Arabidopsis thaliana: one gene and its partner. The protein of the gene in region 2 interacts with the protein of the main gene of each other region in a pairwise test. Each region holds a gene or a part of one and is shown on either strand. Other genes may lie near its edges. The genes, in order: CJD1 and EMB3101.

What was found.
Region 1: the proteins of EMB3101 (region 2) and CJD1 interact in a two-hybrid assay, tested with the Arabidopsis thaliana proteins (one study listed by BioGRID).

The regions. Positions count from the first base shown.
Region 1 is NC_003070.9:2,747,835-2,753,425, reverse strand, and holds CJD1 (Chloroplast J-like domain 1), read left to right. Parts: upstream 1-1,805; 5' UTR 1,806-2,216; coding exon 2,217-2,347; intron 2,348-2,647; coding exon 2,648-2,747; intron 2,748-2,832; coding exon 2,833-2,937; intron 2,938-3,033; coding exon 3,034-3,111; intron 3,112-3,200; coding exon 3,201-3,256; intron 3,257-3,349; coding exon 3,350-3,407; intron 3,408-3,624; coding exon 3,625-3,750; intron 3,751-3,848; coding exon 3,849-3,944; intron 3,945-4,163; coding exon 4,164-4,235; intron 4,236-4,649; coding exon 4,650-4,712; 3' UTR 4,713-5,065; downstream 5,066-5,591. Other genes in the region: PPCK1 (phosphoenolpyruvate carboxylase kinase 1), read right to left, coding at 194-243, 416-1,220; AT1G08645 (uncharacterized protein), read left to right, coding at 831-1,175, 1,419-1,484, 1,596-1,613. UniProt on the Arabidopsis thaliana protein: Probably involved in the regulation of the fatty acid metabolic process in chloroplasts, especially chloroplastic galactolipids monogalactosyldiacylglycerol (MGDG) and digalactosyldiacylglycerol (DGDG).
Region 2 is NC_003070.9:1,669,893-1,674,444, reverse strand, and holds EMB3101 (Tetratricopeptide repeat (TPR)-like superfamily protein), read right to left. Parts: upstream 2,530-4,552; 5' UTR 2,467-2,529; intron 2,347-2,466; exon of another isoform or gene 2,330-2,346; 5' UTR 2,285-2,329; coding exon 770-2,284; 3' UTR 598-769; downstream 1-597. Other genes in the region: APS2 (ADP-glucose pyrophosphorylase small subunit 2), read left to right, coding at 23-121, 216-341, 434-550; HEXO2 (beta-hexosaminidase 2), read right to left, coding at 2,759-3,711, 3,785-4,552.

The DNA of each region.
Region 1 (5,591 bases), 1.1 Mb from region 2:
CAGCTCCTTTTTTTTTGGTTAAAAGTCTTTTCCAGAGTCTTCTCTTCTACTAGGTTGGTAGGCTGGCGGAATCTAAAATGCCCATAACCCAAATTTACATGCCCGACACTCCTCCATACTTGTTAGATAAAAAACCACCGAGAGAGATGATAAGCTATCACTTGACACTTATTTATTTCTCCGAGAGAATCTTCTAGATGAATCTCTCCTCTGTTTCTCCTGCTCTTTGGATCCATGGGTGCCCTGCAACAAAACAAAATTACAAAATACCAAATTTAGTTCACTTTATCATTAAACCAACCTACTAAAAAATGGATTAGTGTGGATAAGATAACATTATCTGTTAAAAATAGATGAAATTTATTGACATTAAAAATTCAACAGAGAAACAGATCTGATGGTTTTAGAATCTTACTTAATGCTTGTTCGGCTGAGAATCTTCTAGAAGCATCTTTGCATATCAATTTCCTTAGGAAATCTTTAGCCATAGATGAAACCCCCCGGAATATCTTCGTCGGAAAACGGAGATTTCCTCTGAGTACCGCTTCGAATATCTCTTCAGCTGTCTCGCCGTAAAACGGTGGAGTTCCAGCGAGCATCGTGTACAAAACGACGCCGGCGCTCCATAGATCGACCTTCTCTCCGTAAGAATATCCCATTAAAACCTCCGGCGCCACGTAATACGGCGTTCCGACGACTCCTTCGGTGGTCTCTCCCTCACCTAACCAAATCCCTGAACCGAAATCGCAGATCTTAACCGTATCGTTTCGTAGATCTACCAGAATGTTCTCCGGTTTAATATCCCTGTGAACGACGCCGTATCGGTGACAATGCGAAAGCGCCTGGAGAATCTGTTTAGCGAACGACGCCGTCTGAGGCTCAAAGAAGGTTCCAGAAGAGACGAGACGGTCGTAGATCGAAACAGAGGGATGGACGAGCTCCATGAAGATGGAGAGAGTCGAATCAGTGTCGATGAGATCATGGATTTGAACGATGTTAGGGTGATAGGACAAGAGAGCCATGAGCTTAGGCTCGTTGTCGAGACAGGCACGGTCAAGGTCGTCGGAGAGAGAGGCTTTGTCGATGGTTTTGCAAGCGAAGAAATCACCGGTGGCCGGAGCGTAGACGCGAGAGACGGTGCCGAAACGGCCACGGCCGATCTCCTCGCAGATCTGGTATTTGTTGGTGTTGTTGTTTCCGAGTGTTTGGCTGCAAGTCATAATATCACTTTCTTAATATTTTTTGTTTTGTGTTGGTTCTTGTGTGAGTTAAGAAGACCTCTTGAGTCGGCTCTACCTTTTTTTATAGCCAAAACTCTTGAGAATATTCCTTTTGATGCCTACATGTTTTTTTTTTCTACTAGTATTTTCCTTTTCCTTAACGTTATATCTTTTTTGTTTTTATTTTGTTTTAAATAGGATTTTAGATATTATTTCCCAATCCAAATCTATTTTTTTGTTTTGTTAGAAGTTTACTTGGAGAAGGTTTGTACTTTGTAATGTCTTTTCTTATCTTATTATATACAATTTTACTTTCTAACAGTTCTTTATTATCTATTTGGTTTGTTCTTTGAAATGATAATTACTTGGTGGTAGTCTAAAATTCACATTTAAGTTTATTATCAAATGTACTACACAATTACAATCCTCTCTAAATTACAGAAAAACATTCTCAACAGATCCAGATTTGTTAAGATAAAATATTGGATCTACAATTTAATATGTTTCCAGAAAAAGTTCATAAATTGATAATGCACAATCTAGTGAAAAAGAGGTAGGAAATCCAACCCCAATTTATGCAAAAACATTTCCAAATTGAATGTGAGTACTAAACGATTTCTTGGACGAGATTGAAATCTGAAAAAGAGATAAGAAAAGTGTGGCATGTTTGGATTGGAATTGGGAGATAATCCCTGCAAGTAAGTAAACCAGAGATCCCACGAAAACAAACTAATAAAGACACTGGATTGGGCCGATAAATCAGTTGGGCTGAAGAAAGCAGGCCGTCTTTATTATTACCTAATTCGTTCACGATGGAGGTCGAACCGAGAATATCCCCCTCCGGAGGCGAGCGCCTTATCCATTGGGCCACGCGAACTATTGGTCAGGCCTCAGTTTTTAGCCTTAACAAACTATTGAGTATTGAATGATTAGCTTCCAAACATCAATCACCAACCTTCTAGTTTCCTTTTAACCCTACTAGAGCTCTGCTCTGCCATGGCTCCCGCACTATCTACTTCTTGCTCCTCCGTCATGGCTTTCTCAACATCAAACGCGCTTCGTTACCATCATCCTCAAATTTCTCTCAGGAACTCTCTTCGCGCTCCCAAATCGCCTTCTTTTGTCAGGTACTTTCTCTTGATGCTGCTTTTTTGTTTTCCACTTCTCTTCGGTGGCTTTAAAGTCGAAGAATCATCGTTTGATAGTTCTTTTTGTTGTGTAAACTTACGGATTTTGTGGGTAACCGTTATCTTCTTCCTTCATAAACATTGTCAATTGAATTCCGACGGCTTAATTCGTGGATGAGCTTCTTACTGTTGCCTATAAAGTTTACAACTTTCAATTGCACTTAAGAGAGTTCCATTGTTGTGCTTATCAGACCATTTGGTACACGTTATCATTGTAATGAGGATGATTGAAATTCTCAGGCTTCCCCTCGGAAAGGTGTTACAGAGCAGGATTGTGATACGTGCTGCTTCGTCTGCGGCTGGTAATCCACAGTCTGATGCTGACTTTAATCCGTATGAGGTAATTGATCGTTAGAGCCCTATAAAGGACTTGTTTTGTTGGTCGTTGTGTATTTCTCATGACATGAGTGTGTGTACCTTCTCAGGTTCTTGGTGTTAACCCTATAGAGGGATTTGACAAGATCAAGCAAACTTATGGAAGGAAACTTAAAGATGCTCAGAGGAGCGGTGATGAAGCCACTGCTGCTCTAGTAAGTTACGTTACCTCTCTCTTTCTTTGGAGTCCTGTAAGTGATTTTTTTTTTTTTTTTTTCTTGTTAACACGTCTCTGTTTTACCTTTTGATAGCTTGAGAAGGCATATGATAAGCTCATGTATGCCCAGTTGATGAATAGGAAAAAGGGTGTGACTTTTGGTTCGTTTAAGGTGTGTATCGTATCCTCTTTCTTGTCATATGCTGTCTTGAACTCTATGACCTTTCTTTCTCAATCCTTGGTGAATTTTTCATAATTCAGGTTTCCAAGGACATTAAATATGCTGATAAGCAGCCCATTATACCATGGGGTCCAAGGTAGAGATTCTTTATGAGTCTACTCGCATTATTAATTTTCATCATTCAAAAGCAGGATCTGTTACTACTCATGATTTACCCTTGTTGTTACAGGTTTTCCAGGTCCTCCAAGAATGATATGTTGATCAACCTAGCAATATCAGTTGTGTTTGTAAGTAGTTTTTAAGAAATATGAGGTTTGCTATTATTAGAAATGTCAGTTTTTTTTTTTTTTTTATCTGTACCCTTTATGAATCAAGACATCATGCATAAATGACTGAATTCTTGCAGAAAAAGTGACTTGTTTCTTACACATTTATGCATATATGACATTTCAAGTACAATCAGATATGAGCCTCTCCCACTCTTTCTGTTTCTTTCTTTTGCAGAGTGCATGGATTGCGATAAAACGTAATGTTGAATACAAACCGCTGCAGTTCATGTCTTTTGTATTTGTTTACAGAATTTTTGAGAAATTAAAATCCTTTGAAGCACCTTCATCTCCAATATATAACGTGAGTTTTGAATTTTTTTGAAGCCTTATGTTTTGATGTCCGTACACTTAGTGGCTCTTTTAATCCTGATGTGCACTGATGTTTGACACTGGCTGCAGGAGGAAGGCGAAGAAAGTGGACGGGGATTGAGAATGGGAAAGAGGCTTCTTCGTTCTCTTTCCTTAGTTTTTGGCTCTATACTCTTAGCATCTTTGGTATGCATATCCATCAAGACTCCGTTATTTTAAAGAATCCGTTTTATGTTGCACCATCTAGTATTAGGTTTATTCAAAGAGAGCGGCATATGTGATATAAATGTGTCCAAGCGTTATTTTATGGATGCTCCTGATTGTTTGATCTAGTTATTAGATATGTCAGGAGTTCTTTTAATTGTGTATACCTATGTTTAACTCTCAGTGAACAATGTTTTGCAGGCATACACTGGGTTCTTAAATGGCATCGAGTACATGGGCTACTCCATACCCATGGTTCTTTACAACAACCAGGTTGTTTTTTTTGCATAACTTACATCTCTCTTCGCTTGAAACCTTCTCTTAACTAGTCCCACACAAAATGATCATTTTGATCAAAAAATGGTTTAGGATATTTAGGTCAATTGTTGGCTAAGCCTCAATGAACAGCACTAGTTGATTAGGTTGTAGATGATTGTGCTGTTTGTTTTGATTTGTGACATCTATAGGTATAAGAAGTACTTGTACTGAAATAAAAACTAAATGCACAAGTATTAGGTATGAATTGGGAACACATGAGTTGGATATGTGTTGCCACAATTGCTGAATTAAGATATAGCAAAGAGAAGGGTCTGGTCTGTAAATTAAATAGTTCCATAAGTGATATCAGTCAACCAGGCTTTTGATGATGTAACAAGAACTGACTGAACAGTGCTAATTCGGTTGCAGGAACTTATAGTGACGGCGTCATCGGCTTTCATGCTCTATGTTATAGCGTCGTTTTACAGATAATGCGAGAGTCCACAGGAGAATTGGTCAGTTAGAAGCTTTTGGAGAAGTTATGCTGTATTATAGGATGTTGCTGGGAGATGAAAAGTTTATTTTCTACAGAGAGATGGGGTTATCTTTATAACCTTTCTTTTGTGTGGAAAATCAAGTAAATTTTGCAAGAGAGAAATCCCTTAGAATCTAAGTCTTGTCTATTTACGTTTAATGCTGAGGATCGCATGTGGAAGGTTTTTTAATTTTTGTATTGGAGCAATAATATGCGTGAAGTGAAAAATCTTGAGATACCTTGAAAGTATCAGTCGTACACACAATTGAAGCGTTACGAAGATGAGAAACGTTATCAACCTTGTTAAAACACAACTGTGGAGAGTTTAGAATTGATGATAGATGAAAAGTTATAGGGATCAAAATAGAGAGCTAATATCTTTGGTGTGGTGGCGAGAAAAATCATCTGAAAAGATGTTTCATAGATTTGAGGTACGAATCTGATTGGTTGGGTTAGATAAAGGTCAGGTCAGGTGGCTAAGACTGAATTCGACTGTCATCAAAAAGGAGTGTCCACTACGGTCAGCAAAAGAAAAAGGACTATGTAGGTGAAGTGAATCCGATGGGAAATAAAACAAATGTGATAGAGAGAGAACAGAGACGCCAATTATGAGTAGAGCTGACACGTTGGAGCTGACTCTGTCTCTATCTCTATATCTCTGTCTTTCTCTATTTATAGATGGAGTACGTACAGCTGCTCCACACTATATATACAGTACATACTTTGAAAAGTATATTTGAGTTACGTCTTCAACTTCAAAGCGTTTCTTACTACTAAAGTGGTACGTTTCCCTAATTCGCTCTCATTTTCCATCTTCTTCTTCTCCTTCTTTTGAA
Region 2 (4,552 bases):
CGTCATCTTCTTGTATGTGCAGAAATGTGTCATCAGAGGATCGGTGGTTGGAATGAGAACAAGAATCGCTGATGAAGTGATTGTAGAGGATTCGATCATTGTCGGTTCTGATATTTATGAGGTAAACCAGGTTTCTTGGATCGAAATTAGACTAATTAATACCATATTATAAAGTTTTAAAACAATATTTTTTGGTCACGAAATGTGTTTTAAAGATGGAAGAAGATGTGAGAAGAAAAGGGAAGGAGAAGAAGATAGAGATTCGAATAGGGATCGGTGAAAAGAGTCGAATAAGACGAGCCATTGTTGATAAAAATGCCAGGATTGGTAAAAACGTTATGGTAACTACATGGATTTCAACTTACAAAATTCAATTTCTATAGGTTATATATATATATAAATATTTTTTTCTCTTGATAAATACAATTCACAGATAATCAACAGAGACAATGTTGAAGAAGGAAACCGAGAAGCTCAAGGATACGTAATAAGAGAAGGAATCATTATCATACTTCGAAACGCAGTGATCCCGAACGACTCCATCCTCTGATTTTTTTCCTATTTTACAAAATCCATCATTTTTCAATGTAAAATAAAACATTTCTATTACATGTCACCAAGGAATGAAATTAATATGGTCAACAAACCTGTTACTAATTGAAACAATTACATTTCACAAAAACTTTTACAATAGAATGTTGCTCTCACTCACATAGCATCATCAAACTTTGTAAAGTTTCACAGATCAAGCAGGTAGTTAGTTATATGATTAACGTTTGCTACTAATTAGATGCTCAAGTATCTCAACAACATCAATGGCACAAAAGCAGACAGACTCAGCCAAAGCTTTCCACACAGAAGATTCCGGTACCATATCCTGACTAACCATCTCTTCCAACCACATCACAGCTTCATATCGCCGGTCCATATCACAAAGACCTTTTATCATCATATGGTAAGTTTCGACACCAGGAAAGTGTGATTTTATCAACATCTCCTCCATGACCTGACTCGCCTCAAGAAATTGACCATCTCGACACAGACCATCCACTAGAGTTTGATATGTTTCTTCGTTCGCTACACAAGAAACTTGCTTAGACATCTTTTTGAGATATCCAACAGCCTCCATGGATTTTCCATCATCGCATAGACCTTTTATAAGAACGTTATACACTCCAACTGTTGGAAGGCAATGACCTTGCATCATCTCCTTATTGATTACAGAAACTGCTTCTTTAAGCTTCCCGGCTCTACAGAGTGCTTTAACCTTGGCACCATAAATAAATGGTGTAGGCTCAAAGCCTTTGCTTCGCATTGCAAGGAGCACCTCTTCACCTTCAACAAGCTTACCTTCCTCAAAAAGATCAGTAGCCATGGCACTATAGCTATCCAAACAGGGAATTGCACCTCGGATCAAAGTCTCGGTTAACAATCGTTTCACCCGCTCTATACCCTCACTGCTACTCTCCCAGTGACCAGCTTCAATATGATGGTAACATCGTTTCGGAGCCTTTAATCCTTTTCTCAAGATTTTACCAAGAATTTCAATAGCATCATCAACCTCACCAGCATCACATAATGCATCCAATAGAATTCTATAAACCACAATGTCCTCACCTGAACCTTTCTGTGAGATCCTCCAGAACATTGAATACAACAGGTGAGTGGCTTCCTCAAGTTTCCCCTCTAGACAAAACCCCTTCATCAAAATCCTGTAACTGTCTCTGTCCGGATAACAACCCTGGTAATTCATCTCTTGAAAAACCTGAGACGCAAGGTCAGAGCGATTGACCTGGCAAAGAACCTTCATAAGCAAATTCAGAGCCGTTATTCGAGAATTCACCTCCCAACCATAACAATACTTTCTGAAGATATGACAAGCAGCTTCGAGCTCGGATTCTTTAACCATCTCCTGTAAAAGAGTATCGAAAGATAGACTCCAATTCACACAATTGAACTCATGAAGGCTCTTGAAGAGAGAAATAGCATCTTCCAGCCTTCCAGCTCTGGAGAATGTACGAATAACCGATGCAAAAACCGAATCTTTACATTCACAAGAATCTTCCTTCATTCTCTCAATGACATATTTCATTTCCAACACACGGTTAGATTTACCGAGAATGTCAATCATGGTAGCATACACCGAGCCATTGTGACCGTAACTCGGAAACCTCTCTTTCGCTTCCTCAAAAAGCTTAAGTGCTGTCACTGGATTCTTCTGCTTCTTTAGGATTTGAGAAAGAAGACTTGGCGTTAGAACTCTTGGCCATCTAACAACACTCATGATAACTCAGAAATCTCTTCAGGTCACATCAAGGAATCAGATTTCCTGCACAATCAATCTCGCCTCGTCAGCTTAAAGATGATAAGAACACGAGTCAACAGTCTAAACCCTAGAAACCAAAATCATTTCAAATTAAACAAATTTCGCCATCTAACTTTTCAAAGTTGTGATTTTTCAATAACCTGGAGATTTCAGTATCGGATTTTAGGGGTCTCTTCTTCAAGTTCAGTCTCGTAAAGGCAGAGACTTTGGAAGAGGTTGTGATAATTGTTTCGTAGTACGGTAAATAAAGAAACTTTCCATTTTTGCCCCATAACTTTCAACTATTCATACAAAATACCCCGCATACTTCAGGATTTGAGAATTACAACCCACAACTACAAAGCAAAGTATGTATACAACAATCAAAAGAGCCTGATCAAGAGCATGTTTATGCTTTCTTTGACTCGGATCCAATTTCGAAACTATCTGTTTTTATTGATCTTGAAGAGCACCATGGACTGTATTACACATTCCAGGATTCTTCAAACACCACAATGGTTGGATAGGTTCAGCTCCAATCCCTCTCTTAACCATCCTATACCTCCACAGGTTTAAACGGTCCACGGCTTCACCACATCTCTTAACACCTCTCTCGTCTCTATTCCCTGACCACAAGCTCTCCGCCAACGCAGAGGCACGTGGCCAAAGACGTGAGTCTAAAACCGTCGAGTCAGCTTGCTCTGACCACAATGCAACCTCTCCTCCTAGCACCAGCTTCCTCTCTTCCTCATTGAGCAAACCATCAGCTATATCATAGTTGTATATGCTCTGCCACGTCTTAAATGGTGCACACCAAGACCCGCCACCGCTTTCTTTCTGATCATATATACTATCATTCCCTAGAAACCCGCCGTGACCACAGTCTAAGTAGTAGAACTCTGATGAAGAGACAATTACTCTGTAACCAGCAGCTACGATTCTCTTTGTGTTCTCCGGACCGTTATTCCAAGTCTGTAAGATTGTGTGCTCTTTAGGAAGAACAGATGGATCCGCCTTGATTTGTGCATCCAACAGAACATCTTCCCAGTAAACAACTGTGCGGTTCTGTGACACGATGTAAGGTAATGTCGAGTTTATGTACTTTTCAAGAAGCTGGCTTAGTGTTCCACCAGAGGACAAGAAAGAATTGATGGCAGGATCGGTTTTCCAACAGCCTGGGATAACTTCATCTCCACCTCCATGAAAGAAAGATTCTGGAAATTGATTAACGATATCTTGTATGACGTTTTTAACAACTTCATATGTTTTAGGACTCAAAGGGTTAAGCTGACCAGTCCCAGGTTCACTAGCTAACCGCTCTTCCCAACTTTTTCCAGCAGGCCACCAGAACATATTGGCACATGTCACAATTTCCGGGTAAGCTTCTCCCCATGATCCTGTATGACCTGTGGAGTTTTAACAGTATCTATTAGAACCAAGCTAAGTTCTTGTGCAAGAGAAAATCAAGAATGGACTTACCAGGAGTGTCTATTTCAGGAAGTACTCTAACACCATGCTCAAAACCATACTGAACAATCTTTGAGACATCCTCGGGAGTGTATACCATGTCTGGTCCAAGAGATCCTTTTGCAGCAAGTGAAGGTTCAGAAGGAAGCACCAGTGGAAAAGATTGTGAATCAGTGATATGCCAATGGAACACATTGAGTTTGTTTGCACTCATGGCCTTAATAGTCCTCATTATATCATCTACTCCATAGTAATTCCTCGATGTATCGAGCAAAACACCTCTATGGCCAAACAGAGGAGAATCCTGAATATAAATTCCAACGGGTAAGCACAAATCAGGAGATGTTCCCCAAATCATCTGAGAGAATGTCTCAAGGCCACGCATAGCTCCCCAAGCCGAATGAGCTAACAAGTGCGCGGAGAAGCTGCCAATGGGGATGGAGAGTTTGTAAGACTCATCAACACCGTGGTGAAGCGGAAGAGAAAAATCGGTAACAGTGACTACAAGGTTCCTCAAGGTGTATCTTTTCATAAGTTTGACAGGATAGCTAATGAGAGGCGAGTAATTCTCAGAACGGATCAGGTTGTGATACCGTGTTACAGAGGCCGAAAGGTATTGGTGTTCAGGGGCAAGGATAGTGAAATTTGGAGAGAGTGCAATGGCTTTATGTTGAGGCCATGAGAGAAATCTCGGCTTTGGCCAAATGTTGATAGGTAGAGCAATGGAGAACAATGGCGAAAGAAGCGTAATGAAGAAGAGTATTGGGATTAGTATCACAT